3 linked regions of the Saccharomyces cerevisiae S288C genome follow. Changing the gene in region 3 together with the main gene of any one other region gives a genetic interaction. Each region holds a gene or a part of one and is shown on either strand. Other genes may lie near its edges.

Evidence for each region.
Region 1: mutations in ALG9 (region 3) and NNK1 together harm fitness more than expected from each alone (negative genetic interaction), as found in Saccharomyces cerevisiae (3 studies listed by BioGRID).
Region 2: mutations in ALG9 (region 3) and SDH9 together harm fitness more than expected from each alone (negative genetic interaction), as found in Saccharomyces cerevisiae (2 studies listed by BioGRID).

Annotation. Positions count from the first base shown.
Region 1 is NC_001143.9:123,920-133,019, reverse strand, and holds NNK1 (protein kinase NNK1), read right to left. Parts: upstream 5,546-9,100; coding exon 2,759-5,545; downstream 1-2,758. Other genes in the region: putative serine/threonine protein kinase KKQ8, read left to right, coding at 1-1,732; mitochondrial 54S ribosomal protein uL14m MRPL38, read right to left, coding at 1,970-2,386; EBP2 (Ebp2p), read right to left, coding at 5,978-7,261; U5 snRNP GTPase SNU114, read right to left, coding at 7,477-9,100. UniProt on the Saccharomyces cerevisiae protein: Serine/threonine-protein kinase involved in the phosphorylation of the NAD(+)-dependent glutamate dehydrogenase GDH2.
Region 2 is NC_001142.9:352,180-360,686, reverse strand, and holds SDH9 (succinate dehydrogenase SDH9), read right to left. Parts: upstream 4,664-8,507; coding exon 2,759-4,663; downstream 1-2,758. Other genes in the region: YJL043W (uncharacterized protein), read right to left, coding at 1-557; GTPase-activating protein GYP6, read left to right, coding at 1,011-2,387; AIM22 (putative lipoate--protein ligase), read right to left, coding at 7,072-8,301. UniProt on the Saccharomyces cerevisiae protein: Probable minor catalytic subunit of succinate dehydrogenase (SDH) that is involved in complex II of the mitochondrial electron transport chain and is responsible for transferring electrons from succinate to ubiquinone (coenzyme Q).
Region 3 is NC_001146.8:235,496-241,204, reverse strand, and holds ALG9 (dolichyl-P-Man:Man(6)GlcNAc(2)-PP-dolichol alpha-1,2-mannosyltransferase), read left to right. Parts: upstream 1-3,541; coding exon 3,542-5,209; downstream 5,210-5,709. Other genes in the region: PPN2 (putative serine/threonine-protein phosphatase), read right to left, coding at 1-874; ssDNA-dependent ATPase MGS1, read right to left, coding at 1,204-2,967; ADE12 (adenylosuccinate synthase), read right to left, coding at 5,491-5,709. UniProt on the Saccharomyces cerevisiae protein: Mannosyltransferase that operates in the biosynthetic pathway of dolichol-linked oligosaccharides, the glycan precursors employed in protein asparagine (N)-glycosylation.

The DNA of each region.
Region 1 (9,100 bases), on a different chromosome or scaffold from region 3:
GTCATGTGACAGTTCAAATGGAACGACAAGTTCATCAGACAGTCAATGGGCTATGGATTCTTTACTAGATGATTCAGACAATGACCTCACACCTTATCGTGGCTCGAACAAAGATATACTGAAAAGTAAAGACCGGGCGCCGTATAATTACATAGATGACTACAATAAGAAGGCTTTACGCAGAGCAACATCATATCCAAATCCTCTCCCCTCCAAGCAATTCTATAATGAAAGGTTATACACCAGGAGGTCACATCCAGATGAAGAAAGTTTGGAGAGCTTGCCTCGATTTGCAGGAGCAGATGTGCAATGTATAATTGAGCAAAATGGCTTCAAAGTTTACGAAGACGGAAGTCATGAACATAATATAAAGTTATCAGGGGTAATTGCGAAATTAGAGAAAGGTAACTCCTTACCGGCACATCGACAGGGATCATTATCTAGACCAAGATTAGGTATTACTCTTTCTGGTCTATTCAAACATCATAAAAATGAATGCGATATTGAAAACGCTTTATCTCTTCTGCCAAACGTAGAAAAATCTCAGACAAACCATGAGAAAAGAACCGGTCAAAGTCCTAACGATAGCAACCGCAGCTCGCCCACGCAAGGAAGGGAAGATTATCTAAAAATAGTGAATCCCGACGCATCATTGGGCAGTGATGAGTTGAAGTTGATTAATTCATTATCAAGCAGAATTCATAAAAGTTTACAAAATTATTTGCAAGAAAAAAATCTAAAACCGGCTGAGTGTATCGGCGAGCAAGCACCTACTTTTCAAGATAATTATGGCCATCCTGTTGGTCTCGTTGGCGCTGGAGCTTACGGTGAAGTTAAGCTGTGTGCCAGACTACGGAATGAAAAGGACTCCCCCCCATTTGAAACATATCATGATAGCAAATACATATACTATGCTGTGAAAGAATTGAAACCCAAACCAGACAGTGATTTAGAGAAGTTCTGTACAAAGATCACCTCTGAGTTTATTATTGGGCATTCCTTGAGCCACTACCACAAAAATGGTAAAAAACCAGCCCCCAATATTCTAAACGTATTTGATATTCTAGAAGACAGTTCTTCGTTTATTGAAGTAATGGAATTTTGCCCTGCTGGTGACCTTTATGGTATGCTGGTCGGTAAGTCGAAATTAAAGGGCCGATTACATCCGTTAGAAGCCGATTGTTTCATGAAGCAACTGCTTCATGGTGTTAAGTTCATGCATGATCATGGTATCGCTCATTGTGATTTAAAACCTGAAAATATTCTCTTTTATCCGCATGGTCTATTGAAAATATGTGACTTCGGTACAAGTTCTGTATTTCAAACCGCTTGGGAAAGGAGGGTTCATGCTCAAAAGGGTATAATTGGATCAGAGCCTTACGTAGCTCCAGAAGAGTTTGTTGATGGGGAGTATTACGATCCAAGACTGATTGACTGTTGGAGTTGTGGCGTTGTTTATATAACAATGATATTGGGGCATTATCTTTGGAAAGTAGCTTCGAGAGAAAAAGATATGTCTTATGATGAATTTTACAAGGAAATGCAGCGTAAAAACCAGTTTAGGGTATTCGAAGAATTAAAGCACGTAAACTCAGAGTTGGCCACAAATAGAAAAATCGCATTATATCGCATCTTTCAATGGGAACCAAGAAAAAGGATTTCTGTTGGCAAACTTTTAGATATGCAGTGGATGAAAAGTACGAATTGCTGCCTAATATATGATTCCACATAAATATCTTGTATACAATATTCACGGCATGCAATTATAGAATAAGACAAGAAAAAGAATACAACTCCAATGAGTAGAACGTCAGCAGCACGTTCATGCGTTTTCAAAGTTAAAGTCATACATTAAAATTTAAGCAATATATACAGGTGGTTAATTAAATAATGACGACAAAGCTCTTTTGCTGGTTTACAGTCCCTTGATTATAACGTTAATGAATGGAAAATGGGGGTACTTTTATTCTTATATGACCCTACTTGCCAAAGAGCATATCTTATTGTATCCCTTGTCTTTCAGTGTTCTATCTACACAACCATCATTAGCCATAATTCTTGTCCCCAGAGGTTCACCGGTATTTTTATTAATCAAAACGCAAGCAGTATCTCCGAATGCAACGGTGGAGCCATCCTTTCTGCACATGTTACGCTGTTTAGACCTTACGACAATTGCGTGACAAATATCACCTTTTTTGACACGGTTGGTGTTGGCTGTCCCCGTAATGTTTTGAGTCAAGGGCTTTGCTTTCTGTATAACACAGACTATTCTGTCTCCAACCATTGCAGGACTCTTGGGGGACCCTTTCCTTATTACTTTAATACATTCTGCTAATTGTGCACCTGAATTGTCGATTACCTTGATGACAGATTTTAGAAATATCATGTTGTGATGTTAGAAAATATGGCTTATCCAGATCTCAAAGGGTTGACGACACACCGTTCTACAAATCCGCTATGCCAATATCCACGCTTCACAATTTATCCGAACTCTTCTATAGGTCCCTTTTCTTCCATCCGTCATTTAGCAACATGATTTAAGGCTGTTCAAAAAAATATTCTGAGTTTTCGCACGTTGCACGAGTCGCAATGAATAGCGCCAAATAAGTGATAGAGGCATCAAATATGCGATAAAAATACTTATTTACATATTTCGTAATAGTAATTATGAAGTTCGTTATAATTTATAAAATGGGAGAAAAAAAAGTAAGCACAATGTATGTATTTTTTCAATGCAATCAATATCATTAATCATAAGTCATGAGCCATTATTATCGTGAATGGCCTCGCTTAGGTTCATTTCGTTTTGAAGGACTTCTTCAATCCTTTTCAATTTCCACCTCTTATCCAAGTCAATCGTCAAACATCCAATGACTGTGTCATACAAGCCTTGACCAATCGTTCCTTCATTTTTTTTCCTGTCAAATTTACAGACCTGAGCTAAAGAAAATCGGTCAAATTCGCCTACTTTAATCAGAGAGCGTAACCTAGGTTCGAACTCATGATTAAAGGGTAATTTTCCTACTAACATTGTATATAGCATTACTCCCAAGGCCCAAATATCGGATGCTGGTCCTAAAGGAGAAACAATACATGGAAAATCAGTCGATGAACCAGACGGTGAACTTGTAGTTACACCGGAATTCGTGACTGCGGACGCCTTTGTAGAGGATGATAGAGAAGATAAATTAGAGGAAGATGATGATGCTGCGCTAATTTCCGATTGAGAGGAGTCTGGTGAATCATAAATATGCATTTCAACTGATTTTGAACGTCTTGCATCTGAGTATCTTAGAAGTTCTGGCGAAGCGTAAGGCAGAGATCCGATATATTTAGAAGGTTCGGGTTCCAGGTTTGAAAAATCGGTTGTCTTGTGCCTCCCATGAAAGGGACTCCGATGCTGTGGTTGAGGTTGAGAGGCTGGCTTGTGAAATAGATTAGAAGAAGAAGAAGAGGATGGTTGATTGAGATGCTTTAATGAATGTGAACTGGAGCTAACCATTCCTTTTGGTGTAAACGGTTGATGCTTTCGATTTTCAAATTGGTATTTTAAGTTTTCACTAGCGTCAAAATCATTAGTTCGGTCGTCAGGTAAAAAATTGGTTGTGGGATACTTTATCAAATTAGTTTGTTCAATACTTTTTCTCTTTCTATGGCTGTTGCCACTACTCAAGTTTTCATCAAAAGTATCGTTACGATAAACATGCTTCTCATCGAAGTGGCAACTCATTCCAAAATCGCATAGGAAAACCTTCCAATCCGATTTTTTACCTTCTTTTTGTAACAGACAGTTTTCTAATTTGATGTCACCATGAACAATCGTTTTGGAATGCATGTACTTTAATGCAGATAATAGTTGTAAGCTTAAAAAAATGGTCAATCTGCATCTCTCTGCAAATGGTATCTTCGAACGTTTGAATTCGTCCCAAGATATTACCAAGTCGTATAAGGTACCATCGTTAATTCTTTCCGTTAAACAATACATTGCATAGTTGTCATCAAGCTTCCAATCTAAAAGGGGGAGTATTCTGTTATGCTTCAAAGTCCTCCATATGGCTACTTCTCTCAGCACATGTTTCTTGATATTTTGGTGTCCTTTGAACTTCACAATTTTTATCACTCTACCAACACCAGTTTCAATATCAAAGCATTCCCGTATGATCCCCCATGCGCCGAAACCTATGATTTTACCCAACCGATGACCTAGTATTTCCATACCCTTATCGTCTGGTCTCGCACTGCCACCTGCGCTTCCACTCAATGGGTTCGAATTCATTTTAGCTATTGACGTCATCGAAGGTGAAAAAGAACTTAAAAATTGGGATGCAATGGAACCGTGCCTAGATCTTTGAAGTGGACGCGTATTTACGTAGGTGTCATTGCTATTATTGGGCGTGTTCCTACTATTGATGTTATCATCATTAGCCGTGGCCTGCGAAACTGAAGCATTATTGGCAAACCCAGCGAGAGAAAAGTTACTTCTAGAAGATGTTAACATAAACTTCTTAACTAGGGACATCATGGCCTTGTAGTCATGAGATGGTGCATGCTCGATAATCACCTTTTTCCTTTGAGTATACGGCAAGTTCAAAAAATTTCTGGGAAGCTTCTGAATCAAATCCATCATATCGTTGGGGCTTATTTGTAGCTCTGATAAGGTCGATAATGTAGTAGTCGGAAGAAAATTTAGTGACGAAGCATTTGAATCGAACGACGCAGGAACTGCAGAACTTTGAGTTGGAAGTGAATACTTTAACTTCGCAAAAGAGAATTTATTATTCTGTGTTATGCTATTGTTGTTGCTACTAGTTGTATATGAGGATCTCCTTTCCGCTTCTAAGTTGGACAGGGGTGTAAATATTTGCTGGCTGTTTCTGGGCAGAGGGATGGGTTTGACCTTAGAATGCAAATTTCTTGATAAAATAGAATCTTCTGGACTTAACGAATCACTGTTCTCTTGCGAAAAACTATCTCTTCGAAGTTTGTTTTGAGTCAATATTGCATCCGGTGAGCTCCAAAGTTCGTAGTTTCCCTTTCCACTGTCTTTGATTTGTACCTGCGGAGTGGCACTGCTTCTGAACTCATACAAATCCTCGGTGGACTTTTGCCACTCATTCACTAGCTTTGTAAAGTCTAAATCTGGAACGTACTCCGCCCCTATAGTGTATAAAGATTGATTGCCACACGGATCGCCCAGCTCTAGATCGTCGGTTCCGCCTTCAGGGTTTACTTGACTACTTGCGACATCGTCCGGCTGCGATCTTGTCTGCAGTTGTACTAAAGTAGATCGTGATGGGTGCTCATGTTCCATTTTGTAAATCTTCTTAGGCCTGAAATAGATTGTATCACTGCTATTGGCCCTGTTAAAAGCTGGTTCGTTAGCAGGTATATCAATTCCCATTAAGCCTCGTAGATCTCTTCCATAGCTGCGATTCGATGCTGGAGAGTCTGATATCGGCGACGCTGTACCAGAGGAATGTTGTGATGAACGTGATGATGACATCGGACTCCCATTTTGTCGAAGCTGTCGCTGCGACGTAAACATTCGTTCTTTTGGACCGTTTTGCTGAAAAGATTTCTTCGTTAGAGTAATAACAGCGCTTGCTGATTGCGTATCTTCTTACTTGCGTCCCCGATGACCCAAAGGGAACATAAGACCCTCCGTCCCCCATTGACTGTTGTTATTGAATTCAATTATCTAATCTGTTTCCCCCCACTCACAGGAAGAGCGCAACGCCATACACAAAGTTCCGGGACCTTTTCATTCCGGCCATTAATATTAGCGCCGGCGCTAGGGTTTTTGGGCAAAAACATAAGGTCTTTCCCTTTATTTTCCCGTCATCTTGGCAGGGTTACAAAAGCCTTTTAGGGCTTCGTTGGATTTAATTCTATTTTATACTAGTGTACAAAGAGATGATAGATAGTTGTATATACTTTACGTTCTGGATATATACAGTGTTCTTGCCGACATAACGGCTTAGAATCTTCTGGCACGTCTACTCTTTCCTGGTCTATTGGTCTTCCCCTTCATTTTTCTGGAAGAAAAGCCGCTGACATCAGCAGAAGAGGTAGCATCATTCTTCCTCTTGAATCTCTTCATGCCTCCTTGGCCATACTTAGCGTTTTTTGCGGCTCTCTTTCCGTTAGGCCTGCCTCTATCGAACCTTTTTCCTTCAACTTCTTCCTCTACACCGACGTTGAACTCGGAGTGATCGATCTCGTTGTGCTTTCTTTTGTTCTTCAAAGATTTGATCTTTTCCAGTGTTTCTCTTTTCTCCAATTGACGTTTCTGTAAGGTAGCGTTTTGGACTTGCTTACCAAATTTCTTCAATTGCCTTTGTCTTCTAGCTTCTTCACGTGCCTTCTTGTCACTGGCTTCTTCAATCAACTTACCCTTAATCTTGTCCATATGTTCATCACTTTTCACCATTTCAGCAAAATAATCCAATGGTCTTTTGAAGGGTACTTTTAGTCGTTTCAATTCGTCACGTGCTACTAAAACAGCGTCCAGTGATTGCTTGTAAAATGCTAATTCCCTTTCAGTATCATCGTATATGTCCTTAATATGTTCATCCGTATTAGTTTCTGATGTAACGCTTTGGTGCTCTTGGAATGAATGTTTTTTCCATGGCAATTGTACCCTTTCTAAGGCATGTTTCATCGCTTTTGTGTTGTTGACGGTTAGTTTATGATGTGGAACGACATCTGCATCAGAATCAAATTCCACGTCTGACAATGGAACGTCTTGTTCTTCTTCTTGCTCTTCCTTTTCCTCGCTTTCTTCTTTAGCAACGACATCCTCATCCTCTTCAGAATCATTTTCAGACTCAGAATCATCTTCAGACTCAGAGTCACTTTTGGCCAATTTCTCAAGATCCAGTCTTCCTTCTTCTTCTTCTTCTTCTTCTTCTTCTTCCTCTCTATCGTCGCCAGATTCATCTTCATCGCCAGACATATGCTTTTGAGCTTCGGTAGCGTCCTGTTCTTGCATTTTTTTCAATTCTTTTTTCAACTTTCTTTTCTCTTTTTTAGAAAGGGCTTGGCTTTGATATTCTTCAGTATCTGCAGCAACTTCCTTCTTAACATCGGCCTTCTTTTCTTTCTTCTCAAGCTTTTTCAAATTAGAAGCTGTAACGATAGTTGGTTCTTCTTTCTTCAATTCTTGGGATTTCTTTTTCTTTAGGTCATTTTCAAGCTTTTCAGCTTTTTCAATTTCCTTTTGATGCGAAAGCAACTCCTTCAACTTGAAACCTTTAGCCATTCTCTATATACCGTTGTTCAACTAACTGTGCTTTGTTACCGTTTAACTTTTTAACAGCGTAAAATTCTATAAAGCTCATCTCATCTGTATTTAGGCAGAAATAAAAAATTTTCAGTCCCGATGAGTAGTTATATCACTAAATACGAAGTCATATGTAAATTCTGCTGAATAAAAATATTGTGGACATATTGCTTAATTCTTATGCGCCAAGATTTTCACGGTACTAAGCCATTTTCTCTTAATTGAGCGTATAATTCAGCGCTTATATACTTTTCAAGCGTAGGACCATCATTTGACATAAATCCACCTGTAGAAATACCCTTCCGCCTTCTTGTTTTCATCACGAAATCACGACTTAAACTGTTGATAGGTGCGGGTTTCAATTTTGGAATAAACGCATCTTTATCCAAAACATCACCAGGAACCTTCCTCCATATCTTGTGCCAAAAGTACAGCTGACACATACCAAGACCATTCGTAGATAATCTCAAATCTGTCTCGAATCCTGCAGATTCAATAACCGGAACTTGTCCACGAACCTCCAACAATGGTGTCCCTGCCACTTTTATTGTTTTGTATATCCTGCTTCCACGTCTCTTCTTCATAAGTTCCTCTACTATTGGCAGCAAGGGGGCGTGGACCGTGATGTCAACTTCATAGATGGGTTCCAATAAAATTGGGATTGCTGTCAGTAAGCCAACGTAACAGGCTTTTTTCATTAGCGGAATAATTTGACTTTTCATAACGTCAATGTTTACGTCGGAAGGTACTGAGATCGATAACAATTTATACTGTACACCATAAATTGGTTCTTCTGCCAAAGGCCCCTCTTTTACAGCCCAGTAAAATCCTTGTATTATTTGTTCCTTATATTTGGATAATAATTCAGGACTGATTTCATCTGGCAAAGTGTCATTAATCAACACGTTGCCATTATAAAAAGACCAAACGTTTCTTGATGCCAACGAATCCCACCCATACTCGGTTCTCAATATTTTGGATAGTTTCCTTGGGTTGTCCATTATTCCGTCAATATCCAAGCAGTTTTGACCCTTTCCCAATGTGTTCCTGCTCAAATCCTGAATCATTTTAGAGTCCATTGGTTCAGCGGCTACACTAATCGACAGACCTGGTAAATTTTCCTCACCAAGGCGAGATATCGAATTACTTACAGGTATTGAAGCGAACGATTCATTTGAGCAACTTTCAGAAAAAACAGTTAAAGGATCAGATATTTTAATTTCTATCTTTGCATAACTCGCTCTTAGATCATACAACAAACAGTCCATATACAGCTCTCCATTTCCTAGTATTACATGTTCTCCAGATTCCTCAACTTTAATAATAACGCCTGGGTAGTATTTCGAAATTTTGTTCAGGGCATCCAATAACTTGGGTAATTCCCTTGGCAGTAAAGGTTGAAGAACAATTTTGAAAACTGCCTCGGTAATATAATCTAAAGGTTTGAAAAATTTTAGCTGTTTCATGTCCTCCTTACTCTTTACAGAGTACAACGTCGCGGATTTAATATATGCACTTGAAATACCTTTTATTAATACTATCTGTCCTTTGTGTGCTTCATGAACCGGATAGACATATCTGCCACCTAATAAGCCAATTTCTTCGACCTCACATGAAGGCGTTTCGTCATCTTCATCTTCATCTTCGTTGGAGGTTTCCGTCTTTGAGATATCATGCAACTGTCTTTTTTGGCGAGATTCAGATTGTGATGTATCAAGTATACGTACTGTATCCCCTCTCTTCAAAAGTCCAGAGTATATCCGTACAAGGGACCACTCTGCTCCACCGTAATCCACAGTTTTCAGTACATGAGCCCAA
Region 2 (8,507 bases), on a different chromosome or scaffold from region 3:
TCGCTCGCGTGCCTGATCTCACAATCATGCAGCACAGACCTTAGGTCCCTGGTGCTCATTGCAGTTTCGCCAATAAACAGCATGGGGATGATGATAGTCCGTGACTGTTGCCAGGGAAATCTCCACTTGGGTCGGTTGGTACAGCCTGTGTGTTTTACCGTTGATGGGCCCATGTAGTGGGACCAGTCATCCAAGAGCCTAGCATAGCTTTGACGTAGCGGCGCCGTCGCGGCGCCGCTTTCAAAGCTAGCCGGGTTGGCGATCTCGATGGGTATTATGGTGTTGCATTTCTGCAGGAGGTCGATACAGTCGGTGATCTGGTGTAGGGTCATCGCCATAGCAAACAATTTCTGCGTCAGTCCGGCAGTACGGCCACTAGCAAAGTCTTCGTCAGTAAGTGCCACAATGTCGTGGCACTTTGGTACTAGACTTTTCAGAATCTCCAATTGTTCGCTGATGGCTTCACAGCGCTGAAAACAGCAGTAAGTGTTGACCAACTTACCAAAAGATGCATTTATATCCGTGTAACGCTCCAGTCCGGAATAATCAACAAACATGGCTTGCGGTTTTCCTGAACACTCACCTTTTAGTATTCTTTTTTTCTTTTTTTTCTATTTTTTTTTCGACATAATTATTATTTTTTCTTGAATTATTTACTGACGCAAAGTTCTGACCACAGAAAAATTCCACGTCTTATTTTGCCCATGCCAGCCGTAGAATACGCACACGTGTACGCATGCTCCAAGTGTTATTGTAACTGGATGGTGCGCTGGTTTAGGCCTGTAAGCGGTCGTAAAGGAAAACCGGATATTATGTTACCCGCTTCTCCTACGGCATTACTAGTTCCTTTTTTTTTTTTTTTCAATTTTTCCATTGAGTTTTCCATAATCGGTACAGCAGCGTTTAATTTCATTACCTTTTTCAGAACAATGGGGGAGAGTTGTCAAGAGAATTGGCATACATAGAGAGGGTTAGCTGTCGTGCGTTTGTATTTTTTCGCTTATGCAACCATGAAGGATGTCTTACAATGGGCGATTGACCACTACGAGACAAGAGACCAACTGGTGCAGAAGGGAATTTGGAAAGGTGAACTCTACCATGACTCTATCTTTAAAGAAAATAGTAGAGGCTGGCTCTGGAAAGCTTTGCTTCTGTGTGATGAAAACAACAACTGCTTGTTAACTGATAACTTTAAAGGTTTGGACCTTAACCAGTTCGGCTTGGTGCCAGTGCCTATGCTGGCAGATGGCGACAACTATGACGAAAATCATAATGCAAATGTACCTAAAAGGGTCTTGCACTCGAACGTTTCCTCCTCAGTGGGAATCAGGAGGCTGACTCCCGTCGAGGCTGTTGAAAAACATCCCTTGTCTGATGACAATGACAAAACTAAAGGTTCTTTGTCCAAGGGAAGTGATGAAAAGCCGTTGACACTGAGGGAAACTCTGGAAATTATAGATTTGGACCTCTCAAGGATAATGCTTGACGATATATTTCAGGAACCCAAGGTTCATGCTCAAATGAGACAACTTTTGTACAATTACCTGCTTATACATCAAAGCGAACACCTACAGTATAAACAAGGGTTCCACGAAATATTAAGCGTCATTTATCTGCAATTATATCACGGTACAGATCTCGATAATACCGATTTGCAAAACGTTCTGATTATCTTTAACAAGCTAATGAACCAAATCGAACCGATTTTTTATAACGAAGAAAATTTGATTAACTGGGATAAGAGAGTATTCACGAAAATCTTTAGGATTTGTTTGCCAGACTTGTTTTCAAAGGTTTTTTACCAACCACCAAAAACGGGCAGCGGGAAGAAAAAAAACGTAGACCATCTGATTCACTCCAACCTAATCTGGCTCATCCGATGGACAAGGTTGTTATTTTTAAGAGAATTACCCTTAAAATATGTGCTAATCGTTTGGGACCACGTCCTGACGTTCAATTATCCCTTGGATATTTTCATTGCATGCACTATCATCACCCTTTTGTTATCCATTTACGATGAGCTTCACGAACTAGTGAGCCAAGGTGACTATGAACATACGAATAATAACGATGAATTTGTTGAATTGATTTTGCATTTCAAGAAAATTTTTGAAAAGGAAGATGCCAGTAAAGATGATGAAAAGTTTTTAGACCTGTGTAAGGTCACTGGAAATTTATGTGAATTGTGGTATGGAAAAAATTACGACGATATGAGATTGATTTGCGACACTTTTATAAATGCGAAGTTCGGCATAAAGACTAGTGATGTTTTAAGTATGGAAACAGCAAAGTTGACTATTGATCCTAATAGACAATCACTCGAAAACAAACTGAGGGAGAGGGTAAGGCAAACAATTTTGAAGAACAAAAAGAAAATAAGCCAATAAGTTTTTCTTGTCAATTACTCGTTGTTATTTGTTTGAAATCCCAGCCTGCACACCCGCACGACAAAATCAAAAAAAAAAAAAAAAAAACCCAGCTACCACCAACAAACAGATAGCCCACATGTCATATTTCCTAATGAGCTGGTTTCCCTCTGATATTTTTGCATATTGCAGCTCGACGTATATTGTACTTCAATGTCTTGCATAAAATTATATAGCATAATAGATAAGGTGTAAGTTGACAGTAAACGAGTACTATTGACCAAGAATCAATGAGAGAGATAGAGAGAAAAATAAGAAAAAAGGGAAAGATCATTTTTGCCAGATCAATAAATAAGTTTGCCCTCCAAAATAAATAAATAAATAAATAAGAATTAATAGGATCTGACAGCTGGAGGGACTGGGGCGCATTCATTCTCATCTAAAGTATGTGCGATTACATTCCTGTACTTGATTTTTACAGGTGTTGATGTCCCCTTTTGCCATGATAATGTGTGCTTTCTCCAATTCACATCATCTCTTTTTGCATAGTCCTCTCTCGCATGAGCACCACGAGACTCCTTTCTTTTGGAAGCAGAAACAGCCGTTTGTGTGGCACAAGTAAGTAAATTTTGCAATTCCAGAGTTTCTACGAGATCAGAATTCCAGATCATTGACTTATCAGAAACGTGCACATCCTCAAATGTCTTGTCCACTTCAGTAATATTTCTAACACCTTCATCTAGAGTGTCTTGCGTCCTGAAAACAGAAACATCTTTTTGCATTGTCCTTTGCATGTTCAACCTGATTTGAGAGGTTTTCAGTGAGCCGCGAGCATTTCTTACTTTATCCAAATTAGCAATTGACTCGTGCCCGATGTTTGAAGCCAATGGCTTATGAGGCAAGCCAGGCTGTAATGTGTCAGCAATGGTATTTGCAACGGCGCGACCGAAAACGACTAAATCCAGTAGTGAGTTAGCGCCTAATCTGTTCGCTCCATGAACCGATACGCAAGCAGCTTCACCACACGCCATCAATCCTGGGATGACCTTATCCTCTCCAGTTTCCTCGTCAATGGTCAATGCTTCACCAGTCCATTTTGTGGGAATGCCTCCCATATTATAATGGACAGTTGGCAAGACAGGAATTGGCTCCTGGGTGACATCGACACCCGCAAAGACAGCAGCTGTTTCAGATATTCCCGGTAGCCTTTCCTTTAGTACCTCAGGTGGTAGATGGCTTAATTGTAAAAGGATATGATCCTTGTTTTTCCCGACACCTCTGCCAGCCCTGATTTCCATGGTGATTGCTCTGGAAACAACATCCCTGCTTGCCAAGTCCTTGGCAGTAGGAGCATAGCGTTCCATAAACCTTTCTCCTTCAGAATTCAATAAAAATCCACCCTCACCACGGGCACCTTCAGTGATTAGGCAGCCAGACCCATAAATTCCTGACGGATGAAATTGAACAAATTCTAAATCCTCTAGTGGAAATCCAGCGCGAGAAACCATAGCATTACCGTCACCTGTACAAGTGTGAGCAGAAGTGCAAGAGAAGTAAGCTCTACCGTATCCGCCTGTCGCGATGACGGTCTTATGTGCTCTGAATCTGTGAATTGTACCGTCCTCCTGATTATAGGCAATGACACCCACAACCTCGCCATTATGGGTCAACAAATCCATTGCAAAGTATTCAATAAAGAAGTGTGTATTATTTTTCAGCGCTTGTCCATACAATGTATGAAGCATTGCGTGACCTGTTCTATCTGCCACCGCACAAGTCCTATAGGCCTGTCCACCTTTACCAAAATCTTTGGATTGTCCCCCAAATGCTCTCTGGTAAATCCTTCCATCTTCAGTCCTCGAAAAGGGCATACCGTAATGTTCTAGTTCAATGACAGACTTAGGTGCTTCTCTTGTCATGTAATGGATTGCATCTTGGTCTCCGAGCCAGTCAGAACCCTTGACAGTGTCGTACATGTGCGATTTCCAATCATCTGGATGCATATTTCCCAGCGCAGCATTAATTCCACCCTGAGCAGCCACAGTATGTGACCTTGTTGGAAACAACTTGGATAAACAAGCAGTCTTGTATCCAGCTTCAGCCAAACCGAAAGCTGCTCTTAAACCTGCACCGCCAGCGCCTACCACCACACAATCATATTCATGGTCGATAATATGATATTTGGCCGGCGGTTTCGATTCAGATTTCACTTCCCCAATTTGACGAACAACAGAGGAAGAAGTGAAAGTTCTTTGCAAGATGTATGATTTTGTTATTCCTTTTTTCAAAGATAACATAATTTATTAGCTCACGTGTATACATGTATATAGATATACGTATTTAGGCTCCTTCTTTTCTTATTTTAGCAGATAATTATTTAGAAAGTATATATAAGAACTTAGCTCTGACTAGAGTGAAAGAAATTTGCCGAAGTGTCGGTTGGATTGCCTTTTTTGCCACCTTGTGGAACCTTACTGTTCCGTTAAAGGGAAGACCCTTATATTCTAAAGGGAGCCACATAAGTCCGGAGAAGAGGAGCGCGACCTGAGAAAAGCGACTTGAGCGGCTAACGGGTTAATAAAGCTTACGGAAAATTAATGCATTGCAGCTTCCTATGAGTTTTGTCATTCTTATAGAAGCCGAAAATTCAAATAGATGATTTCTTGCGTGGAACCATAGGTATTCACACTATCTCTTCACAAAACTTGTTATATTGCAAGTATCTGTTGCCTCACATACGTACTGTATCAATCTGGATCTTAAAGTAGTAACTACAACAGCTTCAAAAAAAATCTCCGCGACGGGGAATTGAACCCCGATCTGGCACGCGACAAGCGCCCATTCTGACCATTAAACTATCACGGAAGAAACAAAGCACTCACGATGGGGGTCGAACCCATAATCTTCTGATTAGAAGTCAGACGCGTTGCCATTACGCCACGCGAGCTACTGTTTGTTGGAAGATTGGGATTAAAGGTAAACTATGCTTTGATTTCACCAATCTCGCAAACCAACGTTGAAAATCTAAACTCTCCTACTACATTTGCGTTTGGTAGCAGAATGTTGAGGAATAATAACCAATTACCATTTAGTTGACTAGTATTTATATGTCAACACTGTTGGAATAAAAATCAACTATCGTCTATGTTGGAATAAAAATCAACTATCATCTACTAACTAGTATTTACGTTGCTAGTATATTATCATATACGGTGTTAGAAGATGACGCAAATGATGAGAAATAGTCATCTAAATTAGTGGAAGCTGAAACGCAAGGATTGATAATGTAATAGGATCAATGAATATTAACATATAAAATGATGATAATAATATTTATAGAATTGTATAGAATTGCAGATTCCCTTTTATGGATTCCTAAATCCTCGAGGAGAACTTCTAGTATATCTACATACCTAATATTATTGCCTTATTAAAAATGGAATCCCAACAATTACATCAAAATCCACATTCTCTTCAGTCTATCAACTAGTAGTCATACTACCAATATATTATCATATATGGTGCTAAGATGATGGCATAAGTTATGAGAAGCTGTCATCGAAGTTAGAGGAAGCTGAAGTGCAAGGATTGATAATGTAATAGGATAATGAAACATATAAAACGGAATAAGGAATAAAACGGAATATTAGTATATAGAAATATAGGTTCCATTATGAGGATTCCTAGATCCTCGAGGAGAACTTCTAGTATATTCTGTATACCTAATATTATAGCCTTTATCAACAATGGAATCCCAACAATTATCTCAAAATTCACCAATTTTCATCTTTATCAAAAATGGAATTCCAACAATTATTAAGTTATAACCAAAATTAAAAATTCACATATTTCTCACAAACAAAATCTTTACAATCACTTATTGATCAGATATAATCCTGCAAAATGGAAAGAAATTATTAATTATGAAGAAGGGTACGGCGGCCAAGAGAAATTTCATCCACATTCTATTTAGAGCACATTAAAAAAATCTCCCGGGGGCGAGTCGAACGCCCGATCTCAAGATTTCGTAGTGGTAAATTACAGTCTTGCGCCTTAAACCAACTTGGCTACCGAGAGTGATAAATGATTAATAACCAAAAAATTTTGTTTCATCATACAAATTCAAAGAAAGTATTGTTTCATAAGAATGTTGCTGAAAGGACTTTGAGTGAATTGTGAACAGTTTGATAATTATTGGTCCAAATGGCGACATTGAAGACACAGTGTAAATTATTCAATGATGATTTGGCCTGGTTTTTACAAATGATTTTATCGACGTCAAGAGGATACAGTTCAAGAACGGTTAAGCGACATTGACAAAAAATGCTCAAAAACCACTGGTGCAACTTTACTGGTGGCAGTTTTTTGAAGTGAAAAGGAACTTTATTCTGGAGCGGAAGAAATTCAATAAATGTCACCACAATACCGATGCTATTCTTAGATGATCGATAAAATTAAGTACTATCTGTCGGTTTCTCAAATAACAGTATAAATATTTAGTTCACATTTAGAGACGGCTGAATCGTAACAAAATATAGTTCTTATAGATCTAAAGTACGAACACTCCTAATGTATCGCTTATATTGAAGTTTGCTGTGAATCTAGGACGCGTCTGCTGAAATATGCTGAATCAGTTTCCGGTGAAAGACTTTAATTTTGATATTTACCTACGTTATTTACAAGTGAATTGAAATATTCATCAACGTTATGTGTAACTGTCAATATTCTCCAAAAATCCTTTGAATTCCAAGCCGATTAAATCATTTCTATCACAATCATAAATCATGCCCTTTTCGACTTTAATTGTTAAGCCTTTATCTTTAATCTTCACTGAAAATTTAGGCCCCGAGAAATATTTCCATTGTTCGCTCTGTAAGGTGTTCATAGCATCTTTAATCTCATCGTTTATAGATTTAAACTCGTCACAGTAATATATAGGTATTTCGCCGTCAACTTTGAATGTTTTCTGAAAACGCTCGGATACCACTGCAATGAACTGATTAGGAGTAATTATACCAACATTTTTGATTTTTGATTTTACACTATGAACTCCACTTGACTCCCATTCCATATTGTTCGGTAGTGAGGGTTCTAATAAGCCGCTAAACTGTTCTAAATCCGCATTAAGCAACATCGTTGCATGATGGTATGCTTTGCCACCGGCAATTTTATAAGCACTGCCACTAATTTTAAACCCGTCCTGAATAATATCTCCTCTCTCATTCAAATCTAGTCTTAGTTCGGGATTCAATGAATTTAACCACTTAATTATCATTTTGTTGAAAAACTTTGTTTCGAATTTCTCCCTTGATGTTAAATATGAATAATTAACATTGCCCAAATCATGCAGTACAGTGCCACCTCCAGAAAATCTTCTAAGTAGTTCGAAATTCTTACTCTTCAGCTTAGCAAGATCTACTTCCTGCCACAGATTTTGGTTTTTGCCTATAACGGCGCACCTATCATTGATGTAAAATAACAGTCTGCAATTATCGGGACCTCTTTTGGCTCTTGGTGTATTCTTGAAAACATAGTTTTCAAGGGCCAAATTATAATAAGGACTGGTGGATAAACTTTGTATAACAAATCTGCCCTTTGCCTTTACTATATTTTCCAATTGTGAAGCAGACATGATCTGTTTGGCATATCCAATATTATAGAAATTGTACAAGTCTTTATTAAAAGCACTGATATCTTCTTCCATAGAGCTGGCCTTCGTCGTATCATAATCAGATTTACCTTCATCCTGCAAAATTGAAACGTTATCATTTGAAGGTGTAAACATGTTTTCATACATTGAGTTTATATCATGATATTTATCGTCTGCGTCTTTTGCCCATCGTGTAAGTGTGTGAAATAAAGTGGTGCAATGTATGAGGTTTCGCTGTCCCACATATCGAGGGGAGAGTGCCCAATTACTTAGCATCATAGACATAATGTAAACATCAAAGAAAAGTCTAGTGTTTTCTTCTTTTGTATTCATCAAAAATTCTACATACGTGAGCTCGGAGATTTTTGGATGTTCAATATTCCTGATTAAGTATGACGAAGCGGAACGCATAGCTATCCTTTGCGTAATGATGAATATGAACAATGCGAATGAAGATCATCGATATCTTTGCACTAAAAGACTACTTTGAA
Region 3 (5,709 bases):
AACCTTTGGTCTGTCTCCGTAGGTTTAGTCCCATGGATGCATCGTGCCCGTAAAATACTTTGGCGTTACTAAAGTGGTCTCCGTATTTGTCCCACAGTGTGTACCATCTCACATAATTCTTGTTTTCCTTTTCACGTGATGTTTTTGACCAGTTCTTCTTATCAACGTACTTCATGTTTGACAGAGAGCTCACGCCCGGAATTTGGTTGGGCTTCATGAAGTCTCCCGGAACCATCCCTGCATGTGCACCAAAGAGTATATCACCGGTAATATCCAGATCTAGTTCTATGGCCATAGAACAATGTTCCGCTAGCTGACTTAATTTGGAAAACCCAAGTTCGCGAGCTAACCGTCCATGTGCGTTGCTGATTTTAGAGATGTCTTGTGGTATGAAATTAGTCTCCGTACTGAAAGTTAAAGGTGTCATTAATTTGGGGCGTCTTACCCATTTCGAGAAGTCTGGGTTTAAATAGGCCATCATGACCAATATTTCATGATTGCCCAAAACGCACTTGACTTGATCCTTGTGATTTAGAATATACGACACGACCTTGTCTGAGTCCGGGCCCTTGTGAATAAAGTCACCCAGCAATATCATTGTTATATTTTCTCCTAGTCCTCCAATCTTGTCATCAATGAGTTCTATGAACTCATCATAGTTACCATGAACGTCACCAACAAAAACGTACTCCTTATTTAAATCTGTTACATGCTCAATTTTCTTCAAGGTGCTAATTGTAGGCAATAAGGAAACTGGTGGAGACAACCGAGGGTTATCAAACTTGAATATATATAGTGTATAAACGCAGCATGCCACAAATAATATCAATGCTGTACTAAGTGTAGCGGCTCGTCTTTTCCGCTTATCTTCCATTTTTGCGTATCTATGCTCCTCAAGCCTGGCTCATTTTACAAGCTGGAAGGTCGAGGAAAAGGAAGAACTAATTCAAGAATAATGTGCTCTTCTTATAGGATGCGTATATGTTCTAATATATCTCAGATGGGCCCGCGAGACTTTTCTAGCATGAAAAAAAAAGGTGGATCCTTGATTATCTAAAATTATAGTTTATATCGTTCATGCTGCACAAAAACGTGCCAGCAATGCAATGCGCCTCAAGCGTAAAAAAACAAGCGGCATTGGCCAACAGAGAAAAAAATATGAATTGTAGACGCGGCATTGAGAGAAGTATGGAAGACCCTTGACTAACCCTGATATGACTGTCTCAAGTCAGGATCTTCTTTGTCTCCTAAATGTTTGCCGTCCAGGAACTTTAAGTCAGTTTTATTTGGACATTTCTCGAGCACTTCTTTGGGAAAGTAGTCTTGTTGGACTTTTCCTTCAATATAATCGGGATTGTACTTGTAGCCTTTATGATAACCCAGCTCCTCCATCAATTTGGTTGGCGCATTTCTGATATGCATCGGTATCTCACTGCTTGCTAAACTGTACATGTTCTCGCTCATCATTGCCCTTAATTTCTTCCAAGCTCTATATAGTTCTACTGACTTTGGTGCCCTAGCCAAAGCAACACAACATTGCGCCAGTGCAAGGTCTGCCTCTGGCAAACCAACTTTCATTACTGCGTCATGTGCCGCGACAGCCAAGGGCAATAATGAACTATCCCGTAATCCGATATCTTCAGAAGCTATTCGAATCATTCTTCGGGCAACATACAATGGGTCCTCTCCTCCCTGCAACATTCTTGCTAAATAGTACAGTGAGGCGTTTTCGTCCCCACCTCTAATGGATTTATGAAACGCAGAGATTGTATCATAATGGTTATCTCCCTTTGGGTCATAGTATGTATTCAACCCGTTGCTGCTGTTGTTCTTAATTATGTCTCGTACATCATCGATAGATAATTCTTCCTCGTCGGCCTTGCGCTCTCTTGTTGAAACTTCGATCATTTCCAACATATTTAACGCCCTCCTTGTATCACCCACCGACAGATCTACCACGTACTCCAGTATGCTTCTAGACAATTTCAAAGGATTTTCAATATTCCATACTTGTTTCCTGCATTTATTCAATAATGCAATTCCTCTTGATAAAACAATACACAGTTCGTTGACATTCAGCTTTTCTAGGACAAAAATCAGACATCTGCTAATGAGAGCATTGTTCAGCTGAAAACTTGGATTTTCTGTCGTTGCACCAATCAAAATAATGTCACCGTTTTCTACGTGTGGCAATAACAAATCCTGTTGAACTTTATTGAATCTGTGAATTTCATCAATAAAAAGTACAGTTCTTCTTTTGGTCAATTGATATTCCTTTTTTGATTTTTCAAATATACCTCTCAATTCTTGCGTATTTGCCTTTGTCGCACTTGTTTCGATCATGAAGTACCTGGAACCAACATTTGATTCATTACTACTGGTTGTCGCAGTTTTCGTTAATAGTCTAGCTAGTGAAGTCTTTCCTACACCTGGAGGGCCCCAGAGTATCATAGATGGTATAGTCCCTTGTTTTATGTATTTGAACAATGTACCATTATCTTGAGAGAGAATGTGCTGCTGACCTACATAATCTCTTAATTCTTTTGGCCTCAATTTTTCACTAAGTGGCAAATGGCTTATTTTCTGCAACCATCTGCTTTCGTAATCGTTGTGAAGTTGATCTCTGCTCGAAGCAGGCTCCACTATTGATTTCGCAAAATCCGTGGATGGTGCTGCCTTAAATCTTTTGCTTTCATTTTCAACAATCTCAATATCATCACTCTCGCTCTTAAGACCTGGCTTAATTTCATGGTCCTTATTTTCAAGATCAATGAATTTCTCTGAGTTAGCTTGTTTCCTCTTTTTTGGGCCTGCCAAAAGACTTGACACCGTTTGTGGCCTACTCGAAGGCTTTGACTTTTCCTTGCCACATATGTCAAGATGAGAGTTGATTAAGGAAAAAAAGACTTTTCTAGAGCAAATTGGGCATGATATGAGCTGTTCTACAGATGTCCTCTTGTTACTCATTGAGACTGTGCGATCCTGTTTCAGATCTTACCGCTAGCGTTCTTCTGCTAATAAGCTATTTTTTACCTGTCGATGACCTACCTTAAAACACGTTTCGTTTAAGACAACGCGTACAGTTTCACAAGGAAAGCAACCGATGATTGAATGTCAATTAAAAAACAAAAAACAGATGTTAATTTTAACTGGGCTCTCAATATCAAACCGTTATAGTATATGATGTATCTAAACGACCACTTATCACTTGGATATGTTGTCAAATCCGTTTTGCTCTTGCGCATGTTATACCTACTTTTTACTATCTACGGCGGGCATCCTGACCCGGCTTATTTACTTGAAAATGCAACAATAAGTCCGTTACGCAATATTGAATTTTGATGAGAACCGTTCTGCGATATTCAGAACTGTCAATACAAGCTTGAAAAAGGGACAACTGGATATACAGGGGTGTTTTTGACACAATAGAGAATACTTTTTCGTTTTTATTGTACCATTACGGCTACTCAACGAGATTTCAAAACTTTAGCTGTATCGAATTGGCTCTTTTTTCACCCTGAAGCACAATTATAAGGGAACGATGAATTGCAAGGCGGTAACCATTAGTTTATTACTGTTGTTATTTTTAACAAGAGTATATATTCAGCCGACATTCTCGTTAATTTCAGATTGCGATGAAACTTTTAATTATTGGGAACCATTAAATTTATTGGTACGTGGATTTGGTAAACAAACCTGGGAATATTCACCCGAGTATTCTATTAGATCATGGGCTTTCTTATTACCTTTTTACTGTATTCTTTATCCAGTAAACAAATTTACTGACCTAGAAAGTCATTGGAACTTTTTCATCACAAGAGCATGCTTAGGCTTTTTTAGTTTTATCATGGAATTTAAACTACATCGTGAAATTGCAGGCAGCTTGGCATTGCAAATCGCAAATATTTGGATTATTTTCCAATTGTTTAATCCGGGCTGGTTCCATGCATCTGTGGAATTATTGCCTTCTGCCGTTGCCATGTTGTTGTATGTAGGTGCCACCAGACACTCTCTACGCTATCTGTCCACTGGGTCTACTTCTAACTTTACGAAAAGTTTAGCGTACAATTTCCTGGCTAGTATACTAGGCTGGCCATTTGTTTTAATTTTAAGCTTGCCATTATGTTTACATTACCTTTTCAACCATAGAATTATTTCTACCATCAGAACCGCATTCGACTGCTGTTTGATATTTTCATTGACTGCATTTGCTGTGATTGTCACTGACAGTATATTTTACGGGAAGCTTGCTCCTGTATCATGGAACATCTTATTTTACAATGTCATTAATGCAAGTGAGGAATCTGGCCCAAATATTTTCGGGGTTGAGCCATGGTACTACTATCCACTAAATTTGTTACTGAATTTCCCACTGCCTGTGCTAGTTTTAGCTATTTTGGGAATTTTCCATTTGAGATTATGGCCATTATGGGCATCATTATTCACATGGATTGCCGTTTTCACTCAACAACCTCACAAAGAGGAAAGATTTCTCTATCCAATTTACGGGTTAATAACTTTGAGTGCAAGTATCGCCTTTTACAAAGTGTTGAATCTATTCAATAGAAAGCCGATTCTTAAAAAAGGTATAAAGTTGTCAGTTTTATTAATTGTTGCAGGCCAGGCAATGTCACGGATAGTGGCTTTGGTGAACAATTACACAGCTCCTATAGCCGTCTACGAGCAATTTTCTTCACTAAATCAAGGTGGTGTGAAGGCACCGGTAGTGAATGTATGTACGGGACGTGAATGGTATCACTTCCCAAGTTCTTTCCTGCTGCCAGATAATCATAGGCTAAAATTTGTTAAATCTGGATTTGATGGTCTTCTTCCAGGTGATTTTCCAGAGAGTGGTTCTATTTTCAAAAAGATTAGAACTTTACCTAAGGGAATGAATAACAAGAATATATATGATACCGGTAAAGAGTGGCCGATCACTAGATGTGATTATTTTATTGACATCGTCGCCCCAATAAATTTAACAAAAGACGTTTTCAACCCTCTACATCTGATGGATAACTGGAATAAGCTGGCATGTGCTGCATTCATCGACGGTGAAAATTCTAAGATTTTGGGTAGAGCATTTTACGTACCGGAGCCAATCAACCGAATCATGCAAATAGTTTTACCAAAACAATGGAATCAAGTGTACGGTGTTCGTTACATTGATTACTGTTTGTTTGAAAAACCAACTGAGACTACTAATTGATATACAGGTTCTCTAAAACAAGCAGCAAAAAAAAAAAAAGCCTGCTTACTACTTGTTTTGAGCGTTTTTTCTTATCAATAGTTTTAACATTTTTCCACGTAAATATATATATATCTATATGTTTTTATGCATTTTATAAAAAAAATATGTTTGTTCATTACTCTTTCATTTTTTCATTGAAAACTTTTAAAAAATGTCATGATTAGTTACATTTCGTATATATAAAACTATAAAACTGTGAAAAGAAATTAAATTGAAGTTTGTCATGGATGTCCAACGCCCTATTTAATTTCTTTATGCAACATGCTTTCTCTTGCGGGGCCGGTACCAACCCATTCAACAGGAACGCCAACAAAATCTTCAATATATTTTAAGTACTTCTTTGCGTTTTCCGGCAAATCTTCATACTTTGTAATTTTGGTAATATCTTGATCCCAACCTGGCAAAACTTTGTATTCAACTTCAACTTTACCAAGAATATTCAAGTCTTCAGGGAACAA